Linked DNA regions of Struthio camelus. The protein of the gene in region 1 purifies or fractionates together with the protein of each later gene. This does not show direct contact. Links are inferred from orthologs where the notes say so. Each region holds a gene or a part of one and is shown in the gene's direction. Other genes may lie near its edges.

Region 1 (7,449 bases):
AACGTGCCGGGGCTGCAGGCGGTCCGGCAGGAGGAGGGCTGGTTCCGGCTGCAGCCGGACAAATCCAAGCCGAGGGAAGCCGAGTGAGTCTCGCTGAGGGATGGCGTGCGGTGGGACGCGTGAGGGGCGGGCGGTCACACCAACTCCGGGGCCTGCAGCGTGTCGGGAAGGGGTTATTCCGGGGACGTGCCCTTCGTTTGGAGGAGCAGTTCCTGGGAAATGCCCTGCCCTTGGCCACGCTCTTCCCTTCCTTTGGAGGAACAATTGCTGGAAAATGCTCTTTCCTTGGAGGGACAATTCCTAGGAAAGTGCTCCTCCGGAGAGGCAATTCCTGGGAAAAGCCCTTCACTCAGAGGCCAAGAGCTGGGAGGGCAAGTGCAGGGCAGCTCTACGTGCCCTCCGAGGATGTCCGAGGCTGGGGGCCGGGATGTTGGGACGCCTCCTGCTCTGGGAGGTGCCTCTCCATCCCACACTTGTCCTGTCGCAGAGGCAACCTGGGATCTCTGCAGCTGCAGGTGCGGCTGCGGGACGAGACGGTGCTGCCCTCCAGCTGCTACCAGCCCTTGGTCCAGCTGCTGTGCCAGGAGGTGAAGTCGGGGCCCCAGGTGAGCATTGCCCCTGGCCGAGTGTGCCCCACGTGTCCCAAACACGTCAGCTCCTCCCCAGAGGGGGGGGGGGGTAATCTGCTTCCCTAGTGCCATCATGTCTTCATCCCTTGTCCCCACCAGGATGGCAAAGTGCACCTGATCACCCTCCTTGATGAAACCACCACGGCCGAGTGTCGGCAGGAGGTGGCCATCAACCTGGTCAAGCTCTTCCTGGGCCAGGGGCTGGTCAAGGAGTTCCTGGATCTGCTCTTTGAGCTGGAGCTGGCAAAGCCGTGTAAGGCTGGGAGCTGGGGCTGGTGCGGGGTGGCCGCAGGGTGGGTGACACCTGCCTGTCGCTGTCCCTGACATGCGACCCTCCCTGTCGTGTTTTGCAGGCGAGCCCAACACTCTCTTCCGGAGCAACTCCCTGGCCTCCAAGTCGATGGAGTCCTTCCTCAAGGTGCTGCGCGCTGCCCCCGGCATGGGAACGTGCTCTGCCCCCCTGCTGGCCCGCCGGGCTGCACCCTGCCTGCGGCGGGCCCCTGCTGGGAGCTTTGGGGTGAACCCCAATATTTTCAGGTTGTCCCAGCTCCATGCTGCCCCTGCTGGTGCCTGTGTCACCCCCCGCCCTGGGAGGGGGGTTGGCTCTGGGCAGGAGGGATGCCCGCAGGGATCCCTGGCCCTGGCCTGCAGGGATGCTCGTTGCTGGGCGGGGATGTGCCAGGAGGTGGCTGGAGGCTGCACAGAAAGAAACAATCAAAGTAACCCTGGGCGGCTCTTAGCAGGGGGATTTGGGGTGTCTGTAGCGGGTGCCGCTGGCAGAGTGGCAGTGGTGTCCCCAGCACTGTGTCCCCTGCTCTGTCTCTTGCCAGGTGGCCGGGATGCAGTACCTGCACGCTGTCCTCGGGCCCACCATCAACCGGGTGTTTGAGGAGAAGAAGTACGTGGAGCTGGACCCCAGCAAGGTGGAGATTAAAGACGTTGGGTAAGGGGCAGCGCTGCGGGATGCGGACGGAGGGGGAAACGGCAATCTCCCGAGGGCCCCCCAGCCCCCGGCGGGGCTGACGGCAGGCTGTGTCGACAGGTGCTCGGGGCTGCACCGCGTGCAGACGGAGAGCGAGGTGATCGAGCAGAGCTGCCAGCACCTCCAGTCCTACCTGGGGGAGCTCCTGGCCGCCATCGCCAAGTCGGCCCCGGCCTGCCCCGCCATCGTCCGCGCTGCTTTCCGCCAGCTCTTCCGGCGCGTCAGGGAGCGCTTCCCTGAGCACCAGCACGAGGTGGGCAAGAGGGGAAGGCCCTTGGGGGGATGATGGATGATTCGGGGTCCTGCTCTCCCTCGGGGGTGGCCGCGCTCTGCGCCAGGAGCCTTGGCTAAGGCTTGGCATGGGCTACGGGACCCCAGGGTTCCCCTCTTCGGCAGGGGTTGGGTGCTTCCCACTGGGAACGGTGCATGGGGAAAGCAGGGCACGCAGCACCGAACTGCAGCTCCCAGGAGGCCCCACAGCAGTGGCTCAGAATCATGAGACTTTCTGCTTTCAGTTTATTTGAAAATTGGGGAATTTCCCTTGGAGATTCCCAGGGGATGGGGGACTGGAGGCATCGCCCCCCATAGCTTGGAGGCCCTGGGGAAGATGGGGCTCATCTTTGCAAGGTGAGGCTCTTTTGGCCCTCGTCACCACAATTTCACTCCCACCCTATTCGCAGTCACATCCCACATAAATATGGGATTCCTGCTCGTGCCGTGGAGGCAGCTGCCACGGCCTCCCCGAGGCACCAGTGAAGGAGCCCTGGGAATAAATCAGCATGTGCCCTGCCCGGGGAATGTCAGCCCTCGTGTGTTGTGCCTTCACACGTGGCTCATGCCCTCGTGAACATGTTGTATGCCTTGTGCCCTCATGTGCGTCCTGTGCCCCCTGCGTGGCTGCAGAACGTGAAGTTCATCGCCGTCACCAGCTTCCTCTGCCTCCGCTTCTTCTCACCAGCCATCATGACCCCCAAACTCTTCTACCTCCGGGAGAAACACGCCGACTCCCGCACCAGCCGCACGCTGCTTCTCCTGGCCAAGGTGGGATGGGGACACAGAAAGGGTCCCTGGCACCTGCTCTGGGTCACCTGGGCCTGTTTGGGGAGGGGTGGAAGGCTAGGGTCCTGGTGCTGTGTCCTCCTGGCCAGGGTGCTGCGTGGCCCTCCTGGGGTTTGCTGAGTGCCCAGCCGCCATGTCCTTGCGGGGCTGGCTGGTGAGGAAGGGCCAGGACACCTGGGGTCTTGTGTGGTGCCTGCAGCTCTGACTCCGCTGTCCCTCATGGCTCCAGGCCATCCAGATCGTGGGGAACATGGAGGCGGCAGCAGGCCGGGCCAAGGAGGCCTGGCTGGCCCCACTGCAGCCCGCGCTGCAGCGTGGCGTCACCCGGATGAAGGACTTCATCACCGAGCTGGTGGGCATCGAGGAGAAGGAAGGTGAGGGAGGTGGCTGTAGGGACGGGCGCAGCCCTGCGGGCTCCCCCTGACAAGCACGGGGCTGTTCCCCACAGAGCTGGACTTGCAGAACGCCCTCACCCTGCAGACGCTGGTTGTCAAGGAGGGCCCACTCTTCGTCCACAAAACCAGGGGCAAGGGGCCGCTGCTCTCCTCCTCTTCCAAGAAACTGCACTTCTCCCTCACCAGTGAGGCCCTCAGCTTTGCCAAGACCCCCAACTCCAAGGTATGGAGGGACGTGTCTCAGTAGGGCTGGCGTTGCATGGGAAAGGTGCTGGCAGAGCCATGGGCCCCATCTTGGGGACGTGTGCCACCCTGGGGTGCTGGGCTCTGCATTGCATGGTGGGTCAAGGCTGGCGATGGCGACGTGGCAGTGCCCCATAGCTCCCTCCCTCCAGTCCTTGGTGGCTCTCAGGTGTCTCCAGAGGCTGCAGGGAGGGTGCTGAGCCCCACTTTTCCCTCCATCCCTGGTGACAGAAGAGCAGCTCCATCGCACTGTCCAACATCCGGGCAGCTGAGAAGGTGGAGGAGAAGAGCTTCGGCAGCTCCCACGTGATGCAGATCGTCTACGTGGACGAGGAAGGGCAGCAGGAGACGGTGTACCTGCAGTGCAAGGTGGGCGTGGGGGGCCGGGGCCGGGGCCGCCGTGCACATAGGCCCCCCCCCCCCCCCCCAATCACTGCCCCGTCCCGTCCTGCAGTGCGTCAACGAGCTGAACCAGTGGCTCTCGGCCCTGCGCAAAGCCTGCGCCAACAACCCCGAGATGCTCTGCTCCTACCACCCCGGCGTCTTCAGAGGGGACAAGTGGAGTTGCTGTCACCAGAAGGACAAGACGGGTATGGCGGGGCGGGCAGGGGACGGGGGCCGGCCGGGTTCCCCGCTGGGGAGCGGCGGGGCCCGAGCGGCGGCGGGTTTGTCCCCTAGGGCTGGGCTGCGACGCCAGCCGCCACGGCGTCACCCTGCAGGAGTGGAGCGACCCGCTGGAGCCAGACATGGAGGCGCAGCTCATCTTCCGCCACCTCTGCGGCCTGCGGGAGCCCATGAGGTGCGGCGGGGGCCAGGGTGGGGGGCTGGGGGGCCACCCACTGCTTGTGGCTTCATCCCTCTCGCTTCAGGGAGAGGTACCGGGAGCTGCTGGAGGCCCAGGAAACCCCCAATGGACCCTGGAGCCGCCCTGAAGGTAGCGTGGGTGGTGGGGCGGCCATTTTGGGAGGGAGGGACCCCCCCCCAACAACCTGTGGGGGGTGGGTGCCAGGGGAAGGGGTGCTTCAGGGGGCCGCCGGCCTCACTCTGCTCGTCCCCCTCCACAGGGGGGCCGCTGCCCGAGGGGCTGGGCCGGCTCCTGGCCGTGCTGGGGGACCTCGAGGGCTGCCACTGCCGGGCGCACCCCGCGCCCGCCCCCGGCCCCCTCCTGGAGCTGCAGACCTGAGGGGCCCCCCCGCGCCCGGGGACGCCGCCACTGAGGGGCACGCGGGGCCTCCCCGCCCCGCGCCGCCACCGCCAAGGCAATAAAGGCTCCTCGCACCCTGCGCCCCGTCGTCCTTCCTCGGCGCTGTGGGGCGGCGGGGTGGCCCGGGGGGGGGGGGGAGGACTGAGGACAGGGCGGGTGGCCGTGGTGCCATCGCTGATGGCAGCACTAAGGGCGCTGATGGTGACATCACTGGTGACGCCATCTGGCATGGCTGGTGGCCCGGGGGGGGGGGGGGGCATCGCTGGCGGTTCCGCGGGCGCTACCGCGGCTGGCGGCGCTGCTGGGGGCACCGCCGCCGACGTCACTGATGGCGCTGCCGCCGACGTCACCGCGGCGGCTGCGCGGAGCCCTGCGGGGCGCTGGAGGCGGCGCCGCCGGAAGCGGGAGCCGGCGGCGGGCGGAAGTGACGCGCTGGGCGCTGTGGCAACGGCGGGGCGAGCGGCGGCGGCGGCGGCGGGATGAACGCGCCTCCGGCCTTCGAGTCCTTCCTGCTCTTCGAGGGCGAGAAGAAGTGAGCGGCGGCGGCGGGAGGGGGGTCCCGGGGGCCGGGCGAGGGCGGCTCCGCGAAGGGAAGCCCGGGAGGGGGAGCCCGGTGCCCCGCGGCCCGGCCCGGGCGGGCTCCGCGTTGGGGCGGCGCCGGCGTTGACGGGGGTGTGTGTGGGGTGTGCGCGCAGGATCACCATCAACAAGGACACGAAGGTGCCCAACGCCTGCCTCTTCACCATCAACAAGGAGGACCACACGCTGGGCAACATCATCAAGTCGTGAGTGGGCCGCGGCCGGGGGGGGGGGGGGGGCGGCCGTTGGGGCGGCCGGAGACGCTCGCGGCGCTCAGCCCGGTCGGGGGCTGCGGCGGGTCTAGCGGGTGCTGGCAGCAAAGCATGGCTGCCCACTGCTGCTCCCCTTCCAGGCAGCTACTGAAAGACCCGCAGGTGTTGTTTGCGGGCTACAAAGTGCCGCACCCGCTGGAACACAAAATCATCATCCGCGTTCAGACCACGCCGGATTACAGTCCCCAGGAAGCTTTCACCAACGCCATCACAGACTTGATCAGTGAACTCTCCCTCCTGGAGGAGAGGTTCAGGGTAAGCTTGTTTACTTTAGCTTTTATTCTATTTATTACTTGCAGAAAGCTCACCTGCTTGAAAGTTAAATGGAAGGGGTAGTGTATGTTAGAACTGCTGCCATTTTTAGGCAATGAATTCATCAAAGCTACGTGCAGCAGCTCATAGCACAAACAGCTCCTGTCAAGGGATGGTGACGTCTGGCCGCCCTTACGGGGCAAGGGGGGAGAGGGCGGGGGGGGGGGGGGTGCGCTGGCATACCCTACAAGAGTTAAATGGGTGCTTTGTCTTTCCTAGTTGTCCAGTATTGGATTTCTCCCAGTTTTATTGGAATGGAAAACAATTCTCTAGTTCTTCCAAGTCCCCTTTTTTTTTTTCCCCCCCCTTCTGCCAAAACTCTTTCAAGGGACAGTATTTGTTTTTAATACTTTTTTGGTTAATTGTGCTCTAATGTACAATTCTATTTTTTTAGCCTCAGATCTTTTTTAGATTTAATCTAGCTGAAAAGTATGTCAGACAAAAGCAGGGAGAGCTTTGAATAACGTAGTATATGTGTAATATTCTTTGATATGCTCATAAAAGGTAACAGTGCACTAGGAATTCTTTTGCCAGTATGTTTTGATTTTACTTTAAATATTATTTAGCATGTGGCGCAGAGATTTCCACTGTTTCGCAGTTGTTCTTGTGCTTCGCAGAAGACTGATACCTATGTTTAAAATAACTTCTTCCATCTCGGTGATATTTTTTGTCTTAGTGTCTGTATTTTTTTTTTGTTTGTTTTACAGGTTGCCATTAAAGACAAACAAGAAGGAATCGAATAAAATTATCATGTTTAGAATGGACTGTACCTCTGGTATAGAGTGATATGGCTATTAGTTGAATGCTTTATCTGAACCGTCATTCATGGCAAAGATTTTCTACTTGTCCCACTCGTCGTTTAATTCTTGAAAGTAGTCGCAATAGTTTGGGGCTTTTTTGGGTCCTATGCCAAGAGGATTAAAGTCTTGTTTGATTTGATGGATACTTCATTAAAATCACTTTTTACTTTTCTAATTGGAACCATAAGGCAAATACTTGTACTAGGCTGCTGGCAGGGGTGTATGTTAGCCTAGTGACTGTACTTCCAGTGTGAGAAGTTCCTGAGTGATAGGGGTGGATGAACTCTCTTAGCACAGCCCCAATCCTATATATATATATGTGTGTGTGTGTGTGTATATGTTTTTCAAAAAGTCTTTGCACTGCCAACTGAACTGGTATTTTGTTTTATTAAGTGTCAGTTCTATAAAACAAATGCACAAATTGTGAAAACTTACAGTAAAAGAAACTGGATGTTTACAATGACTTGAGGAGTTGTAACAAACTCTTCCCTTTTTCTCTTGCATGATAATAGCTGGTCTAGAAAATATGGTTACATGGGTAACAGTCACTAATACTGCACTATTTCAAAGCACGGGAATGAAACTTTCCATTACAAGTAACTATGACTTCTTCCAAATGGCTGTTATGTTCACACTAGTTAGAGCAACAAGGTAAGTGAAGGTGGGGTCTGTTATCACATTGTTTATTAGGACTTCAGTCAGCTGCTCCCCATTTGCTCGAAGCTCTGGCCATTTGAGAATCTAGGAAGAGAACAGAGTTTTTGTGGGTTTTTTTTCTTTCTTTCTACACAAAGACAAAAGGAACAGTATTGCGTCTGTAACTTGGAGGATACTAACTACTGCACGTCCTAGTTTGACAATTCGTTTGCTGTGGAATCTGCTTCCAGCACAGTGCTACATCTCTACCGACCTGGGGAAGCTGACTGGAAGAGTCCTTCCCCTTTTTCATGGCAGGACATACACCTTTATGATGT
Region 2 (7,861 bases), on another chromosome or scaffold:
TGGGACATGTTCTGTGTGTGACACTAGAAGGATCAATTTGGATGCCGTGAATAGACATGCGGTAGGCCGCATCTCTGCTTATTGCGGTGTCTCTTCCCATCCAGAGCTCATGAAGAAGCAAATGCTGCAAGAAAACTAACAGCAGAACAACGAAAAGCGAAGAAAGTTAAAAAGCTCAAAGAAGATATTTCACAGGGGGTGCACATAGCTGTGTATAGGTGAGCGCTGAGCTCTGTACTCTGACAGATTTTTTTTTCTTTCATATGCCTATTTCTATTAGACCTGACAAATGACAAATTCTGTTCTGTCTTTAGGGTCAGAAACTTGAGCAATCCAGCAAAAAAATTCAAAATTGAGGCAAACGCTGGCCAGCTGTACTTAACAGGCGTGGTGGTTTTACACAAAGATGTCAACGTGGTCGTGGTAGAAGGAGGTGAGGACTTTGGAGACAGGCTTTTGGACACGACATAATGGTCAAAAGCTTGCCTCTAGCAAAGATGCCTGCATGTGCAAATCACTGGCTGAGGTTTATGGAAGGATGAGGAGAGCAGGAGGCAGTTTAAAACTCCCTTAATTATAGTTTTAATGGAGTTAGCACTGCCTACAGAGCATTCTAATCCAGTTAGAAAACCCAGAGCACTAAATGTTGGAGGAAAGCATCAGTTAAGTGTACTTGATTTGAAACCATGATACTCTCAGGGTTTGCTTAGAGCAAGCAGGGTCGCAACTCTGAGTCTGCTGCAGTGTTCACCATTTGCATGGCTCTAAGTATTTTTGTAAGGTGTTGCAAGAATCTGTTTTGCAGCAGGAGGTACTGAGATGATCTAGAGCTAAGTGTCATCCCAAAGGCCACAGGAAAGCTTGGGCATGCCAGGAATTGCTTGTGCTGGAGTTGGCCTGGCCTGTGTTTTACCTGTCTTGCCTGGTCAGCTGAGTATGCTTTGAAAGGCTTAGTTGTGTTTGCAGGTGCCATTTGGCTTCTGCTGCTTCTTAAAACCTTCTAAAAACTCCGAGTTGAAGAACTGTGTGAATGTGAATTTGCAATTCTCTCCAGGCCCAAAAGCACAGAAGAAATTCAAGCGTCTTATGCTCCATCGAATAAAATGGGATGAACAAACATCAAACACAAAGGGAGAGGGTAAGCATAAAACTACTCAGGGAGAGGGGTGGCAATAGATTGAGATAAAAGTTTTTCTAGAGTGTTGGAAAGTAGACCTAATTATAATTTAAATGCAGCACTCTGTCATGCACCAAGAGCCACGCTAGTGCTGGTCCTCCGCTTTAAATGGCAAAAAGTCACAGAGTGTGAGTGAAGGGGGAGATTTGTCAACCTTCAGGTGTTTTGGGTGTAATAAAAGAAAGGGAGGTCCTAGGTGGTTGCCTGAGGTAGGGGATCCAAGCCCAGAGCACCAGGTAACCACCAAAAACGTGAGCTGGGGTTTGCACAGAGATGGCAGCTGTAACTGCTGTCCATCAGGAGAGGTGCTGTGAGGGGTAGGTGACTTAGCAGTGAGGGTTGCTGTTGTTTCACCTGCCTGGGGGACTACAACTTCCTTATTTTTTTTTCTTTTTTTTTTTTTTTAGATGATGATGAGTCTGATGAAGAATCTGTTAAGAAAACAAACAAATGCTCTCTGGTTTGGGAGGTGAGTGGCGACTTTAGTTAAATATGAGTCCCAGGAGCTTAGACTGGATGGAAGCTAAACCTGTAACAGAACAGCTGAAGCAGAAACCACTTAATTGTTCTGAAGCTTTGGACCAGATGAAATCCTACTGGCTTGATTCTTTCTGCGCACATTTATTTAACTATAGCAGAATTATGAGCACCTCCCCCTGCACAATGTAACCCATGCTTTGTGGGGAAGTCTGGCTAATCATTTGTTAAACTATTAATAAGTTTATTCCTGGGTTTGCTGTGTATTTCCAGCTATTTTATCCCGGAGATGCATCCAAAAAAGTGTCCCTTTTCTCTGTTTCAGGGCACAGCAAAGGATCGCAGCTTTGGCGAAATGAAATTTAAGCAGTGCCCCACTGAAAACATGGCACGGGAGCACTTTAAAAAGCACGGAGCAGAGCACTACTGGGACCTGGCTCTGAGCGAGTCCGTGCTGGAATCCACAGACTGAGGGTGCTGCCACCCCCAGCATTCCTGTTCATTTGAGAACAATACCTCGCAGGAACTTGGACGAGCCCCTTCCTCCCCTCCGGTCTCCACAGTACAAGGCATATGATTAAAGAAATATTTTTTAAAACAAACCACAGTTACACTTGTTTTCTGGATGAATTCAGCTCTTGGAGCAAAACTGCTGGATGGTAGCATCCAGCCATCAGCCGTGCTTGTAGGTGTCTCTTGCTTTCTCTGGAAAGGATTCAGTTTTGGGGTAGTGGGAGAGAAACTGTTTTCAAGAATATCTGTAGTCCTTCAGGAAAAACAAGCAGTCTCAGACTGAGGTACTAGTGCCTCGCCACTGTGTCAGGTGCTTGGTAGGTGAGGTGTGACACTGGCCAGGGTAATCGGTGCATGTAAAGGTCATTTCCTCACTGGGGAAGTTGTTTAGGTGAGCCCCAATGGTCTAAAGGTTGCAGGTAAGGAACATTGGAATTTGTAAAGCAGAGTAGGAGACGGGGACTTAGCCCACATCCTATATTTACATAATAAACTTTTTTTTAAAAGGAAGCGCAAGCTGTGTTTCTTTACATCGCTTTTTCTGGCAGTGTGTGGTTCCTGCAGGTGGTGGGCTGTGCTGGACTCTTGCCTCTGTTTCACACTCAAGCTTGAATTGAGTTTGGAAAGATCTGACTGCTGTCACACTTCTGAAATGGGAGCCTGAGGGCTGGCAGTCAGAATTGTTGCTGTCAAGCAATGAAGTTTGGGGAGAGCTTTTTGTGTGCCCTTTTTTAAATGATAGGGGTTATTGCCCCAGCTGAGCTTCCTCCTTGGAAGCTAAATTGCTTTGGAGAAACTCAAAGCTCCCATTTGCACGGAGCGTATTGCTCCAGCCACTGTGGCTATACCCTGCTTTTCTTTGCTGTGGGCTGAGGCTTGTTCACAAATCTGCAAAACAGTGCCAAAGCTGTTTCACTGACTCCTGTCTTCACCTGTAAAGGAGAACAAAGGGGGGGGGGGGCAGGGGAAAGCTGGGAGAGACTTTTGAGTTTTTAGGTGTGAGGCCCTGGAGGAGGGTTAGCTGGGGGGGGTGGGCAAGCAGAGGCTGGAGGGGGAAAGCCTGGATGTGCTAAGAAAGGCTGAGGTCAAGTTTTGCATGAGTACAATGCATGATACAGCAGAGGGCTGTGCTGCCATTCAGAAGGAGCTTGACAGGCTGGGGAGCTGGAGCTGGAGAGGAACCTCCTGAAGTTCAACAAAGGCAAGTGCAGGGTCCTGCACCTTGGGAGGACTAACCCCAGGCAGCAGTACAGGCTGGGGGTTGACCTGCTGGAAAGGAGCTCTGCAGAGAAGGACCTGGGGGTCCTGGTGGACAACAAGTTAAGCATGAGGCAGCAGTGTGCCCTGGTGGCCAAGAAGGCCAATGGTATCCTGGGGTGCATGAGGCAGAGTGTTGCCAGCAGGTCGAGGGAGGTGATCCTGCCCCTCTCCTCAGCCCTGGGGAGGCCTCCCCCTGGAGTACTGTGTCCAGTTCTGGGCTCCCCAGTGCAAGAGAGACATGGTGCTACTGGAGAGAGTCCAGCGGATGATTAAGGGGCTGGAGCTCCTCTCATATGAGGAAAGGCTGAGAGAGCTGGGCCTGCTCAGCCTGGAGAAGAGAAGACTCAGGGGGTTATTATTAATGTGTGCAAGTATCTGAAGGGAAGGTGTCAAGAGGATAGGGCCAGACTCTTCTCCGTGGTGCCAAGTGATAGGACAAGAGGCAACCGGCACAAACTGAACTGCAGGAAGGTCCACCTGAACATGAGGGAAAGCTGCTCGCTGTCAGGGTGACGGAGCACTGGCACAGGTTGCCCAGAGAGGTGGTGGAGTCTCCTTCCCTGGAGATAACTCAGAAGCCGTCTGGATGTGATCCTGCGCCACGTGCTCTAGAGGACCCTGCCTGAGCAGCGGGGTTGGACTAGATGGTCTCCAGAGGTCACTTCCAACCTCAACCATTCTGTGGTTTTGGGCATAATGGAGCGATTTGCTCCGCGGGGCCCCTCCGCAGGGCCCCACCACGGCCGGCCAGCGCCATGCTGGCGCGCAAGGCAGGCTGGGAGCGCGGCCAGCACCACCGTCGCCGCCGCCGCGCAAGGGCTGCCGGGACCCCCGCGGCGCCCTCCGCCCTGGCTCACGGCCCGCCCGGCTCCACGCATGCGGGCTGGGCCGCACGGAGGTGGGAGGGGGGAAGGGCGCATGCGCAGAGTGCACTGTGGCGGGGGCGCCGCGCTTGCGTACTAGCCGGCAGGCGGCTTGGCGCATGCCCCGGAGGGGGGGGCGCGCGTGCGCGGCGCGGCGCGGGAGGAGGGGGAGGCGCCGGCGGCGCGTGCGCAGTGCCACCCCTGGGGCTGTTGTGAGGGAGCCTCGTACAAAATGGCGGCGGGGGGGCGGGCTCTGCGCGCCGGGAGGGCCGGCGGGTAACCGGCCGTTGGCGCAGCCCGGGCAGGCGGGACGCGGCCGCCCGCGGCCGATTAAAACCCTCCCGGCGGAGGGCGAGAGGAAAAGAAGGGAGGAAGGGCGGGCGCGCTCCCGCTGCCTCGCTTCGTCGGCTGCGCGCGCGCGCGCGCGCGTCCACCGGGAGGAGGGGAGCGGCGGGCGCGCGCGCGGAGGGGGAGGGGAGGGGGAGCGGCGCGTTCGCCCCGCGCGCCCCCGCCGCCGCGTGCCCGCGCCCCCCGCCTCGCCGCGGGGGGGGGGGGGGGGGAGGGCGCCGTCCGCGCTCCCGCGGCCCCGCCTGGGCGAGCAGGGCAGGAAGATGGCGGCCGGCGGCGGAGGCAGCGGCAAGGCCTCCTCGTCGGCGTCGTCGTCGTCCTCGGCGGGCGCCCTGGAGGCCTCGCTCGACAGGAAGTTCCAGGCGGTCACCAACACCATGGAGTCCATCCAGGGGCTGTCGTCGTGGTGCCTGGAGAACAAGCGGCACCACAGCACCATCGTCTACCACTGGATGAAGTGGCTGCGGCGCTGTGAGTGCGGGCCCGGGCCCGGCGGGAAGGAGACGGTGGCGGGGGGGGGGGAGGCCCCGGGATCCCCGCACGCACCTTCCCCTCCTCCCCTTCGTTGGAGGGGGGGAGTGCGGCCCCCTCCACCGACGGGAGGGGGCAGGCAGCAGCCAGAAGGCTTTTCCTGCACGTACCCCAAATCTGAAGCCCTCGGGGTGCCCCCTTTGTGCTCCCGAGTGCTTTGCAAAATCCCTTTAAAAACCCACGTATTATGTATGCCCTGCGGGGCGATGATTTACGCTGGCTGTCCAACCTGTGCGGTGCCAGGGCTGCGTGCGCCGCTCTGGACCGCGCTTGCCTCGGATCAGCCTCGCTGTTTAGGCGGTCACCGGCCTGCTGCAGGATGGTTGGGGTATTTTGTCCATCAGCGAAAGTCACTTGGATCTAGTTTGTGTGGAGAAGTTTGGCAAAGTAATTCCCAGCGTTAGCTTAAAAAAATGCCGTTTCCTTCCATCTGATTCCTTTTCCTTGATTCATGTTGGTGATACAAATGAGCGCCGTGTAATTAAAAATATAGAAACGCTTCTTACTTAATCTCTTGCACCATGCCTGCGTCTTGAAAAAGATGTATTTCTAAGTGTGAAAAGCTCTCTTTCTATTTTTAGAATATTCTTGGAAGCATGAAGTTAGAGAGAATTTCCTACAGCCTTGTGTTTTGGCGGGTGCCATGCTCTCTTGTCCGGTTCCTGCTTTTTAGTGCTTGCTGTTTTGTTTGGATGATTTGTGTATTTGATTGTCAGAAAGAAGGGTACAATTTGGGTGGAAATATGTAATATTTGTGATCGTGAGCATTCTCTTGCAGTTTGACAAAGTCCAGGGCTGGTTGTGAAACTCAACGGAGTGCTGAGAATGTGGGGAGTGTTGTGGGAAGAAGGGGGTATAGTTATCTGCTTGTGCCAGGAGTTTCCAACTTAACCTTTAAGGAGTGAACTGAAATCTGAGGTTCTCTGGGGCATGATTGCTCAGAAGTCTTCTGGCATCACACAGCTTCTGGGCAGGTTTTCTGCTTAGCATCACATTTTAATGCTTTAAAGAAAAAAAATCTGACCTTGTTGCACCTGAATGGTAGTACCCTCAGCCTCCCAAATGCTTGCCTGAGTTATTTTAGTACATTACTTTGAGAGGTGGGGGAAAAGATGTCTTAAGCATGATATCAGCTCTGATTTGGGATCAGGGAGCATCACTGTTCCATTCCACAGATAAAATAGTCTGTTTTAGTCACAAATAAGAAGAAAAGTATGGGATGCTAAAACTCAGATTTGGTGAACTCTAGCAGCAGATGCAACAGTAACCTGAGAGCGGGAAAGTTAACGTTTTCACAAGTCTAAAAAAGGCTGAATTATCTTTACTATCACACTATGTATGAAGGCTTTGCATGTTATTGATTGAGCTAAAGTAAGCTTTGTAGTAATGCACAGATAATACTCTAAAGTGTCATTCCAGTTTCTACTAAATCTTTTGTAAAGTTTGGGATAGTTTGTTTTATGTATTGAGGCAGTCCTGCAAAGTGCTTAGAGCCCTCTTTTCCATTTTGGCTTGCGGTATATGAGGCCTTCAGCTGCAATAAAGCAGATCTGAAGCTTCAGGTAGGGGCTATCCTACACTGGCCTGATACCTTGTTATGCAGGAAGGTTAAGAGTAGTGACAGGTTAACTATTGCCTTGTCTGTAAGTGTTATGACTGTAGATCCTCATCAGTTGTAGTCATGGATTTGGATTCCTGGAATTTATGTGGAGATAAAGACAGTGTGAGTAGCTGTTGCTGCTTCAGTTCAGCGACCTGTTTACATTTTAGCAAAACGTGACTTATTTTGGACCAGAAGGCATTAGGAACTGAGGTTTTGGCGCTGAATGTGGAAAGAAGACCCATGTTGTGAGAAAGATTTTGCTATGGGCAGCCCAAATGGAATGGGGCAACTATAAAGCTAAGCCTTTTCCATGCTCCTAACTCTTCTGTTTTGATTACGCTTGGTAACCAACATTAAACAGCCTGTTTCGAATGTCAGCATTAAAGAGTGTAATTAAACTTTATTCTGAGCTACCATTGAGCTCAGGTGTCTATCACAAGTCACTAGAGCGTTATTTTTCTTCTGTTGTTCTGATTAGAGGAGAAATCACATAAAGCTCACTAACATTTTGATTGATATTTTTTTTCTGCCTTGTCAGTGCACCAAGTGGTGATATCTTAGAAAATAATATAAGAATCGGAGTATTTGTTTCTAAGAAATGGCTCTTTCTAATCTGTAGTGACCTGCTCGTAATCAATCTGTCCTTTGCCACTGTCTTCACACTCTTCTCCTTGAAATCCTGTTCCATTTCATGGTCTGCGGTAGCTTGTCCTTTTTGTCCAAATGAGCTTCCTCCAAGCTGCGTCGTTCCTTGAGGAACTCCACGGGACTCTGTCCTTGGTCCTCTTCTCCCTCCCAATTTTTGAGTAATCTCTCCAAATAAAATTCAGCTCTCATCTCTGTACTGAGGATTTGCAGGCGTGCTTCAACTCTAGAAGCACTAGACACGCTTTGGTGTCTCTTGCCATTGTGGGAATTTTGGCCCTTCTTTGGAGTATCTTGGTGAACGTCTTGCTCTAGGTCAGGCTCAACATGACTACAGCATCGGTAACTTAAGGCATGATCCTCATCTTTGACTTGAACCTCACTTTTAACTCTGTGCATTCATGCAGGGCATAAATCTTGCATATTTATTTTCTGCAGAGCTTC
Region 3 (7,165 bases), on another chromosome or scaffold:
GACAATCTGTAAACTAAGGTGAACAGAGCAGCCCTAAGCATAGGCAAAATAATATTTTGAGTAACATTTGAACGCCAGAGGCATGAGGCATGTCAAGCCATCCCTGCCTTGGGCAAGAAGTGGGAAAGCAAAAAGACAAAGCTGGGACAGATAGCCAATAAGAATGTAGGGCCTGCAGAAGTGAACTTGTTATGCCTCCTGGTAGGAGACTGGGAGAGCTGGTGCTAGTGATTACTGCTGCTCCTGGGAGGGGCTGCTCGGCTTCTCCAGCAGTACCCTAACACACTCAAGGGCACATTTTTGTGACACTGGCATAAGTACTGTAGGTAGAGGAGCTATGCCCATTTTGCTGTTCTGGTCACTCTACTAACCAAAGCAAACCACCTACTTTGCCCATGCCTTAAGCCTTATCTGAAAGACGAGAGATGCAGAGTTGGTATAGACAATCTACCTTATCCCTCTCAATACTATGCTCTCTTAACTTTTGCCCTTTCTTGCCAGTTTCAGAGAAAATACATAAGCCTGTGTTATCTTATCTTTTGTTTCTCTACCTTTATAATTTCTGGATATAAAAAAATCATGCTTTTGTCTTGGAGCAGCTTTGTTTTGATCATGGCTCCAAGAGTACAGGGAGCTAAACTCAGTAAGCTCTGCCGAGAGCTGTGCAGTCCAAGAAACAGGGTTCAACCTTCTGATCATGAGGTGGAAGGACTCAGGCAGAGAAGGAGCACATATATAGTTTTGTGGCTTGGCATAGTTGTGAGACAGACCTATAGTAGAGTCAAGACACTGCATGCCCTTGTCATCTTGGTAGAACCAAGCCTTCTCTTTGAACTAACACTAGATGACAGAAATGCTTAGGTATTTGGCAAAAACAAAAACAAAATAGAATGACACAGACTGGTGGTGGTGTATGCGGAGGGTGCTTTCACTTTTTCCACAATGCACCACAAGCACTGTTATTTTAGAGACAGATCAGCCCTTCTAGTGCTAAAACACTTCCTAAGATTCCCTCAAGGTAAGAGGGAATTCCAGTTGTTACTAGAGTGAAATTCCGCATTTAAGAACAATTTGATGTGGATGTCCTTCAGTGAGAGGAAATGAGAAGCATAAAATCTGCTTCTAGAACATGAACATACAGTGTATAGATGCTGTAAAGCCTTTTGGTGACTGCTAGTGCAATCTGAGATGTAACTACATTTTTGAACTACCTAGAGCTTCCTGGGCCCATATTCTACAAAAACATCAACTCCGCAATTTAATCACATTCATTGTCTTAGAACTCACATGGGGTCAATTCTCTGGGTACTGGAGAAGACAGTGGACTATCACTAACCCATGGTGATCAGATAGAAGTGCAGAATCAGACAGAAAGGCAGCAGGGCATAATTTTGCTCTTAGCAAATTAGAGGAAAGATGTTATTATGGTTTGAATACAGCAATGAGCGGAAGAAAACGTGACATCTGTTTATAACTCTGCCCTTGCAGAGCTGGGTGAATTTTTCAAAAGCAAGTGAAAGAGCTGGGACTGTTTAGCCTGGAGAAGAGCCTGGAGAAGCCTGATAAATGTTTATCAGATTATTATGTTTATCAGACTCAGGGGGAATCTCATAAATGTTTATAAACATCTGATAGAAGGGTGCAAAGAAGACAGGGCTAGATGCTTCTCAGTGATGCCCAGTAACAGGACAAAAGGCAATGGGAACACACTGAAAGACAGAAAGTCCTGTCTGAACATAAGGAAAAACATTTTTACTTTGAGGGAGGTTGAATATTGGAACAGGTTGCTCACAGAGGTTGTAAAGTCTCCATCGTTGGAGATATCCAAAACCCAAACGGACACAGTCCTAGGCAACCTGCTCTAGCTGACCTTGCTTGAGAAGGGGGGGGGGTTGGATCAGATGATCTCCAGAGGTCCCTTCCAAAGCCAGCTAATCTGTGATTCTGTGAATAATTCACCAATTGTTCTCTGAATTAAAGCTTCTCTGAATTAAAGCTGAGGTTTTCAAAGCTCCAAAGCAAACGAATATCCCATTGTGAATACTTGTTGTTTGAGATTCAGCTGACTTTGATTAAGTCTCATAGAAAACTCTGATTCTCTGACTGGATGAGCATAGCTTTTAGAATTAGATTATTGATGTAAACTTTTACAATTAAAAATTTAAAATGTGCTATAAATTCTAGTTTTGCTGTATAACACGTAATAATCATTTAGTCCTCTTGCCGTTCAAATATATTTATTTGCAGAATAAACAAAATACCTATCTCAGAGGATTTATCCTTGTTTATAAAATGTTTCGAGAATCTGGGATGAAGGATGCAAAGGAAGCACTAATAAGCATTACTGCAATTACTACTAACATTCTCTAGACCCGCTTTGTTATTTTTCCTTATCTTCTCTGCTTTAACTTCTAAAGTTTGCCCAGTTAGTTGTCAGATCCTTTTTCATCCACTATTGTGAGATAAATCTATATCTTTTTCCATAGTTGCACACAACATTTTCCACCATTAACTTCAGAATGTGCACCTCCAGAAAATATTATTTGAAAGTTAATTTCTAAATTGCTATTCATATTTAATTTTGCTAATGCTTGCATCTATGTTAGCTCTATCTTAATTTTACGTCAGTGGCCAGTTCTATATAATGCCAACAGTGTCCTCTGCTGTACCTAGCAAAAATAGCATGGTACTACACATTCTCTTTCATTCATGATTACCAAATTGCAGTGAAATTATAAAAAACAAGACTTCCCAAAGATTAGTGCAGCTCTTTGCTTAAATTCTTCTGCCGGAAATCATCCAAAATCATCAAAGCCGGACAGAAACAGACGATTTTGTGAATAAAATTCACCTGAAAATATATAACACCCCCAAGGTTTTATGTTTGACATGACTCATACTTTAAAAAGAACCAGTATTAAGAAAATTCCCTGAAAAGAATGCTCATGAGAATCATCTGGGCCATCTTCTCTGAATGTAAGACACGAAATATGGAAAAAAATTAGTTTTAAAAACATTTTAAAGATTTTTTCACAACTAGCTTGTTGCTTTTCAGTAAGAAGCAACTGGATGTGGATAGGGTTACAGGAACACTGTTTTAAGGGTGAATACTTAAACCACTGTCAGGATGCCCCCAAGTACAGTATAAGCATATTTTTCTTACACATATAATTGTATAGAAATATTAAAACAATATCTGTGACATTGCCTGCAGTTGTAATGATTAACTACCCAGAGAAAGGATTCAGGACGAATCTGTAGGACCTAAAGTGCATAGTCAGTGTCAGTTACTCAGTGATATTTAAAATAAGATGTGATGTGAGACATTTTTAAAAGAGAAAGACTAAGACTAGAAAAGCTACACATGCCCGGCAACATACAGTATCTTCCACCCAGGCACAATACTAAATAGATTTGGATTCTTCAGCTTGAAAAAGAAAATACTGAAGACGACACAATATGAAATCTCCAAAACGATGAACACCACCAAGAACCTGGGCATGGAACAACTTTTATTCACTGTTCCCACAACAGTAGAACTAGCGGGCATCCATCAAAGCTTTTAAGGGAACAGGTTTGAAACAAGGAAGAGGAAATGCTTCGGCACATAAACCATCATTATGGAATCATTATGGAACTGTGCCACAGGGTGGGGTCAAAGCCAAGAATTTTAAAAAGAAAAAGAGAGTGAAAGAAAAGGTTTTTTTTTTTTTTAGAAAAAGGTTGCCGAGGGCAAGAGAAGGCAGAGGGAAGGACTTAAGCGAGCTGCCCCGCGCCCTGGTGTGGCTGCGGGGGCACACTGTCGCCCGCCCGTCCACGTCCACGCCCAACCCCCCCCCCCTCCCGTCACCCCTCCCGTCACCCCTCCCCAACGGTCGGGCGGTTGGGGCACGCGCGAGGGCCGCTGGGACACGCGCGCGAGAGCGCGCGCACAAAAGGCGGGAACCGCTCCCAGCACTCCCCTCCCCTCCCCTCCCCTCGGCCGGAAGTGAGGCGCGGAGGAGGAGGGGCGGGGCCCGGCCCGGCAGGCCTCCGGGAGGGTCGGCGGCCGCCGCCATTTTGTTCGCGGCGGGCTGCCGGGGCGCGCGGAAGTGGCGGCCGGCGAAGCGGGAAGGGAAGGGCCGGGGAGCGCCGGGCTCCTCCCCCGCTGGGCGGAGCGGCGGCGGCGTCGTCGACGACTGAGCGCGGCCGGGCCGCGGGGGCGCTGGCGGCGGCGGCGAGGCCGAGCAGCGGCGGCGGCGGCGGCAGCGGCCCGGTATGTCGGCCTTCTCGGAGGCGGCGCTGGAGCGGAAGCTGTCGGAGCTGAGCAACTCGCAGCAGAGCGTGCAGACGCTGAGCCTCTGGCTCATCCACCACCGCAAACACTCGGCGCTCATCGTCAGCGTGTGGGAGCGGGAGCTGCGCAAAGGTGAGGCTGCCGCCGGCGCGGGGCCCTCGGCCGCCCGCCGGTGCCGGGTGGGGCCTTCGCCGGGGACGGCGGGGATGGAGGTGGTGGCGCCTGGCCCGGCTGCGGGGGAGGGGGCCGCCCTCGGGGCTGTGCCTGCCCGGGGAGGTCGGCCTGGTCTGTCGAGACGGCGAAGGGGCGGGGAGGGGGAGGCCGCCAGCCGTCCGCGGAGCTACCGAGACAAGTAACAAACCCTGCTTTCTTGATGACTCTGGGGTTGGGAGGTGTTTCTCCTTTCTCTTCCCCCCCCCCCCCCCCGCGGTCCCCCTCTTTCTCCCTCCTTCCTTCCCTCCCTCCCAGAGATGTTTCTGAGGATGCTGCTTTTCGTGTTGACTTGTCCCTCCCCACAGCGGCAAGGAAAAAAGGGGCAAAAGAAGGGAAGGAAGGCAGCGAGCGCGGGGTATAGGGCTTCTTGTTATAATAGTAATAGGTAAGGTACTTACAACATAACCGTTTTTATGCGTTATCTTTCGTTGTCTGCAACAATGTTAGCTTTGAAAGGGTCTGTGTGGGCTGACATGGTGGCTTTGCCCACTTATACCAGCAGTTATTCTCGTGGAGCAGCTGAAGATGGGAATACCTCAGGGGATGGGTGATTAATATGTCCAGAGGGGTTATTTACTTCCTGTTTTTGCAAGTGGACTAATACTGATGTTAGCATAATACGGATGAGTTTGTTTCTTTAGATGTATTCAGTTGATGTTACTGAATGCACAGACTTAGATTTTTGTGTGGCTGTCCTTTTAACAGGAAAGAACTTGCAACTGTAGAAAGTGGTTCAGCCACTGAAAGGCAGAGATGGCCTGTGAAGCCTTACCTGACCTGCCTAGAAAGTAACTAGATCTTAAGTTGACTCATTTAAAAAAAAAAAACAAAAAAAACCAGAATTACTTCCTAGAGCTCTAGCATGGTCTAGAAAATGTTATTGCCTTCCAATAGCAACTTTTCTACTCTCAATAATACTTGAATCTTTAATGGCAAAAGTAGAGGGCTAGGTTTTCAAGTGGAGAGGAAAAATGGAGCTAAGCCATTCCCTTAGTTTCAAGCGAATAACAGGAGAATATGACCTGCAGAAATGGTATTTGTTTTGGTATGCTAAGAGTGTAGGGCTGGATCATAATTACCTCTTAGGTTAGAGGACATAACTTCATAGAAAAAGGATTGAACTACCATAGAACAAAAATCTTGAATATGAAACAGTACAAAACTTTACAGTGCAATATGGAAGCAGGTTCTCATAAACTCTGTAGATATTCACATGACTACTGTATTTTTGTTTAAAATATATTTGTATGAAATGCTGTCTTTTGAACTTTCAAGTCTGAGTGTTTTTCCCCTTTAGAAGAAGGAATGACACATTACAGGATGTTTTAATACATAGTTTCAAATAATTCAATTTATTATCTAAAAAAATGTAGATTTGATGGCTTATCTCATAAGACTAAATAAAAATATTTCACTATATGGTTGTTGCAAGATTTTTTTATTTTCTTGTTCTGACAGCAAATGAATGGGTCTTTCATCTGCATATGAAACACTTCATGTTCCTGGGTCTTCTAAAATAAACAACTTCAAATTTTCAGTGTTCTCAATGATTGGTGCTCTGCCAGTGATTTGGTCGTCTTGAATAACATGCATAGTACTAGTTCATAACAAAAACATCAACGCTCAGCTCTTAAACTTTAGCATTAGCATAATTTTCCTGTTGTCCAATATGAGTAACTGGAAAAATGAAACTTTAGAAACATGGGCTGAATATTTGGAGGGGGCATTGGGAGGCAAGGATAAAGCCTCTGTCAAGAACTGATGGGTATGCTTTGCTTTCTCGCAGCTTTCACTGAGGCAATACTGTCCTGGAACTGAAAATTGAACCTTGCCTTTCTAAATCTTATATCCTTTGGTTGTATCACCTTTTTGTTGTTGCTCCCCTTCTCCAAACCTTTCTACCCTACGCCCTTTCAGGCTTGTGAAAGATTTGGCTAAAACATTGCGTAGCTGACTGAGTTGAACACAATATAGTATGAGATTGAATTTTTCTGGATGCTTTCAATTTTGATAAAAGACCCTTTTTTGTGTTTAGATCAGGTTGCATAGACTTTTCTTAAGGTGACTTTAGCTATTGATGAAACAGAGTTAAGATCATTGTTCTTTTGCTCCTAAAGATTTGTTTCTGATTCTTTGCCTTCTGGAATAGTTAATGTCTGTATCATGCTGGAGTAGAAGTGAAGAGGGGCAGCACTTCAAATGCACATATAGGTTATTGGGCACACTAAAATCGTAGTCTGCTCCTGTTTACTTGGATTATTGGCAGTGTTCTAATACCATATTACAGCATATGTACAAATCATCATATCTTCACCCCTTCACCTACAATTGTTCCATAGTTGAGCTTTCATTGATTCACTTGTTGTTCCTGTACTTAAATGCAAACTTAGAATGGGCAACACTTTCATGCCTTTGCTGTAACTGAGAGGGGTTATGTAACACTGGATTTGTCTTGCTAAATTCTGGTGTTGCTAATGATTTGTTAAGTGTTGATATGTCTTCAGTAATCAGATATACATACATCTATGTTTTTATAATACTGCTTTCACTTTTGTCTGAAGTTCTTTAAAATGCTGGCATTTAGCATACATAGGATCGTTCTTAGGAACAGTCAAAGCTTGGAGGAAAGTTAGTATGATGTGTTCTAGAATTGACTGTTTAGCAAAAGTACTGATT

What was found. The genes of interacting proteins can lie anywhere in the genome.
Region 2: the proteins of POLR2J (region 1) and RPRD2 purify together in Homo sapiens (affinity purification with mass spectrometry; 3 studies listed by BioGRID and IntAct, with this or other methods). This does not show direct contact. The link is inferred for Struthio camelus from reciprocal best matches to the Homo sapiens genes POLR2J and RPRD2.
Region 3: the proteins of POLR2J (region 1) and RPRD1A purify together in Homo sapiens (affinity purification with mass spectrometry; 3 studies listed by BioGRID and IntAct, with this or other methods). This does not show direct contact. The link is inferred for Struthio camelus from reciprocal best matches to the Homo sapiens genes POLR2J and RPRD1A.

The regions. Positions count from the first base shown.
Region 1 is NC_090957.1:14,405,063-14,412,511, reverse strand, and holds POLR2J (DNA-directed RNA polymerase II subunit RPB11-a), read left to right. Parts: upstream 1-4,894; 5' UTR 4,895-4,991; coding exon 4,992-5,044; intron 5,045-5,207; coding exon 5,208-5,297; intron 5,298-5,443; coding exon 5,444-5,618; intron 5,619-6,382; coding exon 6,383-6,418; 3' UTR 6,419-6,938; downstream 6,939-7,449. Other genes in the region: ras GTPase-activating protein 4, read left to right, coding at 1-83, 488-605, 729-882, 983-1,047, 1,460-1,572, 1,672-1,864, 2,515-2,652, 2,900-3,044 and 6 more; LRWD1 (leucine-rich repeat and WD repeat-containing protein 1), read right to left, coding at 7,076-7,216. UniProt on the Homo sapiens protein: Core component of RNA polymerase II (Pol II), a DNA-dependent RNA polymerase which synthesizes mRNA precursors and many functional non-coding RNAs using the four ribonucleoside triphosphates as substrates.
Region 2 is NC_090971.1:2,706,814-2,714,674, reverse strand, and holds the start of RPRD2 (regulation of nuclear pre-mRNA domain-containing protein 2), read left to right. Parts: upstream 1-4,846; 5' UTR 4,847-4,901; coding exon 4,902-5,109; intron 5,110-7,861. Other genes in the region: PRPF3 (U4/U6 small nuclear ribonucleoprotein Prp3), read left to right, coding at 105-218, 315-433, 1,055-1,138, 1,585-1,646, 1,980-2,126.
Region 3 is NC_090943.1:68,678,593-68,685,757, forward strand, and holds the start of RPRD1A (regulation of nuclear pre-mRNA domain-containing protein 1A), read left to right. Parts: upstream 1-4,150; 5' UTR 4,151-4,257; coding exon 4,258-4,408; intron 4,409-7,165. UniProt on the Homo sapiens protein: Interacts with phosphorylated C-terminal heptapeptide repeat domain (CTD) of the largest RNA polymerase II subunit POLR2A, and participates in dephosphorylation of the CTD by RPAP2.